3 linked regions of the Xenopus tropicalis genome follow. The main gene of each other region encodes a partner of the protein of the gene in region 3 in a complex. Links are inferred from orthologs where the notes say so. Each region holds a gene or a part of one and is shown on either strand. Other genes may lie near its edges.

Region 1 (3,657 bases), on a different chromosome or scaffold from region 3:
CGCAGATTGAATTTAGGAACACGTGTTTAGGACCATAACTAGTGATGAGCAAAACTGTCTTGCCAAAAAATTGCAATGCATTGAAAACAAACACATTAGCATTATCTGCAAATACTGATTGCAATAAATAGTTTATCTTTTCTGGAGGGATCAGGTTTGTTATAAGCTCAGAAATGAGTTATATGCCATTCCATATCACACCCAATGCTTCCTAAACACAACTACGAGAGGCACCATCACACTTACTTTTTACTGTTGCAGTGTTGATCCCAACAAGAGAATGGTTTGCCAGACACCTATATTGCCACTAACAGTGGAGTTCACCAAAACTTCATTTTGGCATTATGTAGGCAGTGGCATTCTAAAGCAATACTGGAATGGATCTCTATTTGTTTCATTTATAAGATTTAAATATCTTAAATTAAATGGTACTGGAATATTGTGTTTTGCAGGAATGGCTCCAGGGCAGTTATATACTTACCCTGCACGATGTTGGAGGAAAAAGCGGCGTTTACACCCCCCAGAAGATCCGAGGTTGAGACTATTGGAAATAAAATCAGGTTTGCAACAGCCTTACACAAGTGCTTTACAAGTGAATTATGTTATTGTTTTGATTTTATGAAACCCTGAATCCCCTTATTAGAATTAGAGAGCTGTATTGTCCCCTGAGCTCAGAATTCTAATACACTTGGTTTTGTTAAGTGTTTGTGGATTTTGAAGTGATCCCTTTGGTCTCAGCTAATGTGACACTGCAGGAGGAATGTACAAGGCAACACAGCAGTTATCTCAATGATCAGACAGGCAGAAATGCCTTCCTGCACTGGGTAATCTCACAGCCAGTTACACACATGGATACTGAGGGGCAAATTTAATATCCTCACTGAGTGGATTTCAGTATATAATTGCAGTATGCAGTTACACTCCCAAATCCACTTTGTCAATAAGCTTTTTGTAGCGTAAGGGTATATTCTCCATCAACCGCAGGCTAAGAATCCACCCCATGGTGCAGGAGCCTAAAAGTTTTTGATGACTTGATGCATTTATCAAAGTTGATACCTGTGTCAGTTCATCAGAATGTGTCCAACTGCTTAGAGCAGTCAAATGTCATTTTGCCTTATGGAGTGTTAGTGCTCAGCAGCGCTGTGCGTGGTCACCTGCTCATATCCTTGCTTCCCAGTGTAACTTGCATGTGGGGAAATAACATTGGGACAATTATGTTGCCTTGGAATGAATCATTCCAGCACAGAACATAAATTGTTAAATCCTAAAATGTAACTATCATTACTCTTCACTAAAATGTACCAACATTTAATAAATTCTTCTCTTAATATGTAACTTATGACTTTTACACAAAATGGTCAACTACATTGTGGTACTAATTTGCTGCGGAAACCTGAAGTGGCAGATGATGGGAGACCGGGGGGAAAGCTCCAAAATTGGGTAACTCCTGAAATAATAGGGGGAGTTACATAATATGAATTTCTTAGGAAAAAGAAGGGGAACAATGTTTTATGGCTACAAAACACATAATTGGTTGCCAACAGTCTTTTGTAGGCTCTGGGAAATAAACATATTCTTTTCAATAGTTTTTATTTAAAAAAAAAGAAAAAAAAAAAGTATATAGGTAGATTTAAGCTGCGGATTTGGGCCAATCAGGCCGAGTCAATAGCTTGTATGCCCATGCATGGGCAGATCATTGGGCTCGTTGATGCGGGCCTCACTCTGACAGCCTACATACTGGCTCTATAGTGCGATTGTTTGGCAATATGCCTGATATCGCTTACCTGAAAATAGGTATATTCAGGAAAGATCCACTCATTTTGTCAAATGGGCATATCTTTAGTGTATGGCCACCTTAAGTCTTTAAAAAACAGATTTGATAGCAGTGCAGTCATACAAAATGTGGAGTACACCACCTTGCACCATATATTCTACTAATTACAACTCTTTGTTAATGATCTTTCAGCCAGTTCTCTATTCATGTACAAATAGCACCATCAAGAGCAACTTTCCGCCATTTCTCTATTCATGCACCACTAAGAGCAACAGCTCTTAGTTTAGAAAGCAGATATTTATGTATCACAAGCCTTGGCAATGTAAGGAATACAAAACCACTGTGCAACTTTCTACCTAACATAAAATGCAAGTTGATTTGTTTTAAGGGAATCTGTCTCTTAAATTTCATTCTCCAAAATATAATATTGAAGGAAGGTAAAAAAAACATCTGAAGCCATGTCTAATTTGCCTTCGATGGAAAAGGCCATTCCTTATTCCAAAAAAGCAAATGGACCAGCACTGAAGGTACTGTAATCAAAATTATTTGAATGAAATATGTTTCAGATATATAGCTAGCAATAACAGAATGAGGAAATCAACCTGAAATTGGCTGATTTTTGCATCTGCAGTGTTTGTGCAGTTTAAATGCAAATGGAAGCTTTAGTTTGTTGTAGCTGGGCAGCAGCTGGAGTTGCAGAGTGGGGAAAATCCTGCCCGTACCCTGGATACTTATAGAAGAGGACAGTGGCCCAAGTATTCGTTATACTACATGCGCAGGGGCAGATAATAATGAAATGTTGCTGTTATCCAAACACATCCGTAGAACAGATTTATTTATCCAAACATCCTTCAGTTTATTAGAATTCTATGCAGTCAATCTGCTCCAAGGTCTTGTAGTAATCTGGAATGTGAAGAAGACTGGTTTCATATACCAGAGCCTTTTGAGCAAAGCCTTTTTCAAAGGATATTAGAATAGGATATATATAAATTGCAGTTGAGTTAAGCAGTATTTGCTTTGTTCTACAAGCAGGATCACCTTGATAGGTTTTCTTTAGAGTTGCCTACCAGAGGCTTTCTGGGGGTGACGCCCTTGGCTAGGGCTGTTATGATTATGGATCTATTTCTGAGATCATAATTTAACTACTGCCGGTGTCCTGGCACAAATATACTTATATAACATGTTGAAAATGCTAATGGTATCTGTTTCTGGATCTTTAAGACTTATATACCCTAAGGGCCAAACATGAATTAAAACAACCCCATAGCAGCAACCCTGCTCTAGGCTCTCTTAATCAATTGCTTTAATAATACTTTGTACAATGAGCTAGTACATCATTCAAGGAATAATTAGAGACCTCAGTTAGAAGATATATCTTTAGACTGTCAGCCTCATGATGCAGTACCTGGGCTTGATTTATGGATGTTTCAGTGTCGCTGCCTGGGCTTAATGGGTTTAATGAGTAGAGTGGGGTTCCATCTGTGCAGTCAGTTTAACTGAATGAGTGCCAGTTCTGTGTGTAATCCTCCTACTGTCTTGACAATAGCCAAGGTTAACCTGCCTGTGAGATGAAGGGTTAGCTCTGTAATTGCCAATTCACCCACATAATTTCTTCATGTATTTTATTTCCCCATCGCATTAATTTGGGAAACATGCCTCTGTCTGTGCTACTTTGTTGCTTAGACAGATTTTCTAGCTTTTAATGGCTATTACATTTGACTGCTATTACACATGTGTATACAAAGCACAGAGATTCATGGAACACTTGCAGCATTTGACAAATGACCTGCCGGAGCTGTCGGCTGTACCATCATTTTAGGGCAAAATTATAATTATATTTTGTATTGTGGCAATGCCTGTTAAAACCTGCAGTGACAAGACAC
Region 2 (3,657 bases), on a different chromosome or scaffold from region 3:
CTTATTAACCAGTTTTGAGGGATTCATAAAGCAGTCAGTAAAGAGTCTCCTAACGCCTGTGGAGCACCAATATGACTATATGCTGTAGCCTGTTGACTGGTCTAAAGTATTAACGTAATAACATAGCAGATGAGGTAAAAAACAAAAACAAAACACCAAACACACACATTTTTCTACAGGTGAAACCAGAGGGGAAAAATCCTTCTTTATTCCAATATGACAATCAGACCAGTCCCCGGGTCAGCTTTGCTCTGAGTATTGTCCGTGGCAGGGTATTTTCTGGCATTTTTAGGCCGTTGACAAGTAGCTGCTACTAAGTAGCTCCATGTCTCTTAGCCCTAACAGCTAAGGCCCTGGTCAGTCAGACAGGGAGAGAAGGGGACCGCTCTAATACACATTGCCCTGTAACTACTAGGGATGCACCAAATCCAGGATTCGGTTCGGTATTCGGCCAGGATTAGGCCTTTTTCGGATGGATTCGAATTCGGCCGAATCAACGGTCCTGGCTGAACCGAATCCCAATTAGCATATGCTAATGCCCTGCAAGAGCTGTTGTGTCCTGCTTCCCCCACCTTGCCTGCCCACCGATGTGCCGTACCCTGCTTCCCCTGCAAGAGCCGTTCTGTCCTGCTTCCCCCTGAGAGCTGTTCGTAACTTGACAGCAGCCGTTATGCTGCTTACAAGGAATGTTCGGCTCTGTTGTTCTCTAGCCACAATGAGCACAGAGCCAAACGTTCTTTATAAGCCGCACAGCGGCTGCTGTCAGAAGTTACAAACAGCTCGGGGGGGGGGGGGGGACACGATCACCTGTAAGGGGGTGCAGGCGGGAATTGTGCAGTTGTGATAGAGGGCCCTACAGCAGGCATATGAATGAACCGAAATTCAGCCGAATCCCTCACCATGGATTCAGGGTTCAGCTGAACCCAAAAAACAGGGTTTGGTGCATCCCTTGTAGATTGTAAGCTCTTTTGGAAGCTCTTCACCTCTTGTATCGGTTATTGATTGCTTTATATGTTACTCTGTATGTCCAATGTATGAAACCCACTTATTGTACAGCGCTGCGGAATATGTTGGTGCTTTATAAATAAATGTTAATAATAATAATAATAATAATAATAATCCCTAGTAGCTACATTGGTCATTGGTACATCACAGCTTCAGCATGCATGAAGCTACACGTAGCTGAGGAGAAGCTAAGATTGGCCCAAAAATACCAGGGTCAGATTAAATAAAAATGTCATATTTAGAGACAAAGGGACATAGAAATCCTTTGGAAGGTCACATCCTGCCCACAGGCCTCCGGTTGGACAGACCTACTCTACAGAATCCAACCTGTGACTGTTATATAAAAGGACGGGGGGGGTTGTCATTAAGTAATCAATGGAAACATTTTTGTTGCTCAGTACTCACATCCTCAAGGAGACGGCCCTCCACCCGCAGCTCCCATGAGGCAACAGTTCCCTCTCCATCTTCAGCATCTGATTTTGCAGGGTTGAAAGTATTTGAAATGAAGATCCGAAGTTTTCTCTTTTGCTAAAAATTAAGAAATTTGTATAAGAACAGATAATGTCAAAGAAGAAAATATAATTAAAAATTCCACTTTGAACTTAAAGAATTTCTGTCCAGAATACCTTTATTGGTCTCTTCAAAGCCTCCTGAATATCAAGCCGTTTCCTCATGATTGTTTGATCCAGCTTTCTCTCGAACGCTAACAGATCCATGTAAGCCTGAGATTCGGGTACCAGTTCCCTTATCTGTAGGAATAGAAAATAATATATATATATATTGTCGATTAAAAAAATAGAAAAAAGTTAAATAACTATGGTGCCATCTTCTCGAGTACTTACCCTCTGAGGTAGTATCTTATCAGCCATTTTCTTCTTTTTAGCACTGTATGAAGAAAAGAACAATAACTTTTACTCATTTATGGATCCACTTTAAGCCTCTAAAAGAGGATATATTAGCTAAGCCTATTACATACAACCATTTGTTCAACTACATTGGCACACATGGGAAGATATGCTTTTTGGCTATCCATTTGCTCTGCAAATGGCCGACAGTAAGAACATTTAAAGCTGGCCATACACGCACCGATTCACATGATATTCGGTGCGTGTATGGCAAGTTGGCGAGTCGAAGCTGCTGATATCGGTCGACTCACCGATCGGGCCAGTTAAAAGATTTTGGTTGGGCGCCATAGAAGGCGCCTGACCAAAATCTGCCTTCAGCGCTGAATCGGCAGAAGGAGGTAGAAATCCTATTGTTTCTACCTCCTTATCTGCCTCTTTCAGCCCTGAAGGTTAGTGGCAGATCGCCACATGTGTGGCCACCTTAAGGCCTATGGAAATCTGCAGGGAGAGAACCACATCTGATAGGATTTTTCTGCCTGATAGATAACCAGCTGATTATCAGGCAGGCTGGCTGCCGGGATGGCTGCTAAGTCGGTCTGAAGCAACAGTGCGGAGAACTAAATTCCACTGGAATCATTAATGTGCCCCAATCTGCACTGTACACTGAGGGTAAGAACTCACGTAGTGGTTTAGTAATCCACAATTGATCTTGCCTGCAGGAAGAAACTTTGCACGACTTTGGAATACTCCTATTGTTGCCAGTGGAAAGCCATTTCGGAGTGGTAGTCGCCCGTGATAGCGTTCTATTGCGGGCAACCGAACTGCTCCGTTGGTTCTTACCCTAAAAGTGGCCATACATGAGGGGGTTGGGCACATATGTCCATGTGGCATTTAAAAACTACAGTACAGAATACTTCAAATAAGCCATTTAACTTTAAGCTGCAGCTATGCTAGTGAGCCATGTATTTTGAGAAACCAACTTAAGCAGTTTTGGAGATATATAGGTCCTTCTAAAGCAGGAACTGCTAATTCAAATCAAAACATTACCTATGGTTCCTATTCTGAGCAGCCTGTTGTTGCACCTGCTGTATTTGCTGGGGTGCAGGACGTTTCCGAGACTGGTCCATGCCTGATTGGGCCATGCCTGGCCGAGCAGCTGGACTTCCACCATAACCAGGGGGGCCCATTGCTGGTCCCTGAGGAGTCATTCGGCTACCTGGAAGCATTCCAGGTCTCTGCACAGAATAAATATAGAATAAGGTTTCATTACACAAGAACTGACACTGTTTGATATACATTATTTGAGAGACACACACCGTGCATTATACTGTTCATTTTATACAACTGTATATTAAAATCTACATCGGTCTTCTTGCTTGTTCCACCCAACACTATTTTTCTCCCTCATCTACCATGTTCTGCATATTCATGAAGGCAGGGGTAACCTTTTTTTTTTTTAGCAGTGAACCACATTTAAATATAAAAAAAAAAAAAAAAAAAAAAAAACAGTTGGGGAGCAACACATGCATGAAATAAATTTCTAGTAACTGTCAAATAAGGGCTGTGCTTGGTTATTTGGTAGCCCAATTTGTACTAGCAGCCTACAGGTGACTCTGTTTGGCAGTACAAAAGGCCTCCAAAACAGAAATTCAAAAACAAGTATGTGCTTTGGGGGGACTGTGAGCAACATCCAAGGGGTTAGTGAGTAACATGTTGCTCCCAAGCCACTGGTTGGGGATCACTGAATTAAGGAGACTCTCCCTTTTTCATAGATTATAGTTTATAGTAGCTGTTTATTTAAATATTG
Region 3 (3,757 bases):
CCAAAACACTAAGGGGTATATATATCATGCTGTGTAAAAAGTGGAGTGAAGTATTTCCGGTGATTGTTGCCCAGGGCAACCAATCAGCAATTAGATTTCAACAGTTAGAAAATCAAAGCAAAGCATCTGATTGGCTGCTATGAGCAACATCAGCGGCAATGTTTTACTCCACTTTTTACACAGCATGATAAATATATCCCATAGCCATTTAGGTGTAAATTTGTAGGTGTACTGTCAGATAGCACCACATTTTGCTCTATAATTCTCTGGTATGAAGAGAAATTCATAGTGGACTCATTGCCTGTGAAATGTGCAGGTTTTGTGTCTTGGCAGTTTGTATGAGGTTCTTGTGTTATGTTGTTTTTCATCTTGGAAAGACAGGATTTTGTGCATTAGGACAAACTATTAATTGTCCGGAGGATGATTTTTCCAGAAATCTTGTGATCCTTTCAGATACAACATAGTCAACCTAACTGTGTTGCCATTGCATTTTAGAGTAAATGGGCTTTCTCTTGGCTATGTGTTCATGAAATATTTTATCAGTCTTTTTCTAATATTTGGGTCATGAAACTTAAATGGGTTGTTCACCTTTGTACAACATACACAAGTCTAAAGGTGGCCATACACATTAAGATCTACTTGCTTGGCGAGGCCGCCAAGTGAGCGGATCTTTTCCCGATATCCCCACCTACAGGTGGGCAATATTGGGCAAATTTATGGGGGCCAAGCGATCGAATTATAACGATGGCAAAGGGCGCATTGGGTTCCGATGTGGTTCCCGATCCGACTAAATTTTCTAACCTGCCCAAACGATATCTGCCCAATTTCAGGCCAGATATCGGTCGGGCATGGCCGTCGTTGCTGCCCCTACACAGGCCAATAAGCTGCCGACGGCAGCTACAATCGGCCAATGTATGGGCACCTTAACAGTTCACATTAAGAGAACAATCTTTTCCATATACATGGTTAAAGGGGTGGTTCACCTTTAAGTTAACTCTTAGAATTTTACAGAATGCCCTATTCCTAGCAGCTCTGCAATTTGTTTATTTTTTATAGTTTTTGAATTATTTGCCTTTCTCATCTGCCTTATTCCAGCTTTTAAATGGGGGTCACTGATCCCAGCAGCCAAAAACGATTGCTCTGTGAGGCTACAATTTTATTATTATTGTTACTTTTTATTACTTATCTTTCTATGCAGGTCCTCTACTATTCATGTCCCCATCTCTTGTTTAAACCACTGCCTGGTTGCTAGGGTAAATAAGACCCTAGCAACCAGATAGCTGCTATAATACCAAATGGAGAGATGCTGAACAAAAAGCTAAATAACTGAAAAACCAATGATTGTCCAGATTGTCTCAGAATATCAATGTCTACAACATATTAAAAGTTAATTTAAAGGTGAACTACCCCTTTAACTGAAATAAAATGTATAAATATACAGTATAAGAGCATTCTTTCAGAAGCACACAGAGCTAATCCTAGGTAAAGGTGCAGATGCTATTAATTCTGCTGCCTCAGGTCTACACTGATAAAACAATGAGAATAATGTGGAGAATGAAACTGCTAAGTTGCTTGTCACCTCACTGAAACTTCATTGCCAAAAAGAAGAGAAAGGGGATGAGCAGCTGTAAAGCTCAGAGAACTAGAGCAGCCTGCAGCACTGCCTTCCCGGCTTTGATGCCCAAAGCAGATTTCCTTATGTTCTTACACTCCATGCCCCCTCCCTCTGTGCAGGGCACCATGCCAGGCTTTAAATGACTGCGTGTCCCTATTGTGACCCACAAGTAAAGGTCTGAAAACACCTTACTTAATGTGAAAGGGTTAAAGGACTGCTGAAAAACAAATAAACTGTCTGAAATGTGGAAGCTGCCAGAGACTACAAGGCAAACACAATACCCACCTGGGGAGGATGGGGTTAAGGCTGAGCAGATTAATAACAAAAGGTAAAGCAAGCCTTTCTTACCTTCACCCCTTACCGAAGAGCCAGAGCTTGAACCGCTGCTTTTAGTCCTTCTACTTCGCTTTATGTCCCTGTCCCTGCAGTCTGTCACCCTGACGGGATGAGGAGCGGATAATGCTGCTGCTGAGGTAACTGGTCAGTGCCACCTTTTGACCAACCCGTGCCCGCCTGTCAGTGCTGCAGACACGCCGTCACTCACAGGGGCTGCAACTCTCACTGGCAGCCGGGCCATGAGATCATTATCCGGATCATGGCCTCTTCCCCTCCTGCTCAATCCTTCTGCCAACTCCTCCTCCTCCCAATTCCTCCTTGGTTTTATTTTTAATCCTGCTGTCTGTAGTTTTCCTCTGCTTTGCCACTTCCTCCGTGAAGAGGGTGCCAAAACCACACCTCCTACATAGTTCAGCTGTGAACAACTGCACAGGCTATAGAGAAAGAGAGAGAACTCCTTCCAATAATCCCCCACAGCGCTCACTCTGCTGCCTTTGAGGGGGATGCTTGCAGGTGACTGGTGTAGGTGCCGGTATAAAGGTGCCACAAAATGACAAAATGAGGGAGCAGCACATTTGTTTTCACTCAGAATCTGACCATACATATCCACATTCTCACAACTCCTCTCTAAAGAGCATCTTTTTTATTTTAAACACAGTGGGGACAGGGCAGGTGCCATGGGTGCAGTGAATTGTGGGTGAAGGTGTCAGGCAGTTCCCCCTTTCATTATTGGCCAGTAGAGGATTACTAGAAGGTTTCAGGCTGTTCAGCCCATATCAGCCAGTAATATGAAATTATGAAATGAAGAAAGTTTATATATATATATCTATATATATATATATATATAAGTCAAGCTGTGTCCGCACTCTAAACCAGTTTAACTGGTGAGTGCTGAAGTCAAAATATGTAAATACCTATAAACAGGACCAGCACTTCATTTCACAGCAATTCTTCTATTTATTCATTCACCGTGTGTGTGTGTGTGTGTGTGTGTGTGTGAATGAATAAATAGAAGAATTGCAGTGAAATGGTGTGCTTGTCCTATATATATATATATATATATATATATATATATATGTAAAACCTAGCGTATATTGGTGCACACCGGGAATCATTTAAAACATAACTTTTATTAAATAGTTAATACATTAAAGATCAGTCTAACATTTCGGTCTGCATCTAAGACTTCCTCTTGATAAAAGTCTTAGATGCAGACCGAAACGTTAGCCTGATCTGTAATGTATTAACTATTTAATAAAAGTTATGTTTTAAATGATTCCCGGTGTGCACCAATATACACTATATTTTCTTTTTTTCAATGCTCAGTTGGTTGCACCCGGGTCCATTGACTACGCTCAGGAGTGCTGAATCCATGCGTGTTATATATCTATATATATATAAATATAATTATGGTATTTTTACAGACAAACCCTCCCTCTCATTAAAAAAGCAACAAATCTGGCGTGTGTTTTAGTAAGACGTTTTACATATTGAGGGACAGACAGGAGATGATCAGGGAGTGGCTCCATTATCATTAGCCATAACTAGCTCTTATTCCTTGTACCACTTAATTAGCTGAAGTCTTTTCCATTGTCAGAGAAAGGTAAGTTAGTCAGGACCATATCGTTCCCATAGGAAAGAGAGCAGCCCAGAATTAGGAAGTACAGGTATTATCCAGAATGCTCGGGACCAAGGGTATTCCAAATAAGGGGTTTTTGCGTAATTTGGATCTTCATACCTTAAGTCTGCTAACAAATCAATAAAACATTAATTAGACCCAATAGGATTATTTTGCATCCAGTAAGG

What was found. The genes of interacting proteins can lie anywhere in the genome.
Region 1: smarca2 (region 3) and dpf3 share a complex: the UniProt entries of both Homo sapiens proteins name them as parts of the BAF complex. The link is inferred for Xenopus tropicalis from reciprocal best matches to the Homo sapiens genes SMARCA2 and DPF3.
Region 2: smarca2 (region 3) and smarcd1 share a complex: the UniProt entries of both Homo sapiens proteins name them as parts of the BAF complex. The link is inferred for Xenopus tropicalis from reciprocal best matches to the Homo sapiens genes SMARCA2 and SMARCD1.

Annotation. Positions count from the first base shown.
Region 1 is NC_030684.2:106,432,434-106,436,090, forward strand, and holds part of dpf3 (zinc finger protein DPF3), read left to right. Parts: intron 1-452; coding exon 453-560; intron 561-3,657. UniProt on the Homo sapiens protein: Belongs to the neuron-specific chromatin remodeling complex (nBAF complex).
Region 2 is NC_030678.2:148,804,860-148,808,516, reverse strand, and holds part of smarcd1 (SWI/SNF-related matrix-associated actin-dependent regulator of chromatin subfamily D member 1), read right to left. Parts: intron 3,086-3,657; coding exon 2,898-3,085; intron 1,891-2,897; coding exon 1,848-1,890; intron 1,755-1,847; coding exon 1,632-1,754; intron 1,534-1,631; coding exon 1,411-1,533; intron 1-1,410. UniProt on the Homo sapiens protein: Involved in transcriptional activation and repression of select genes by chromatin remodeling (alteration of DNA-nucleosome topology).
Region 3 is NC_030677.2:128,297,414-128,301,170, forward strand, and holds the start of smarca2 (probable global transcription activator SNF2L2), read right to left. Parts: upstream 2,225-3,757; 5' UTR 1,964-2,224; intron 1-1,963. UniProt on the Homo sapiens protein: ATPase involved in transcriptional activation and repression of select genes by chromatin remodeling (alteration of DNA-nucleosome topology).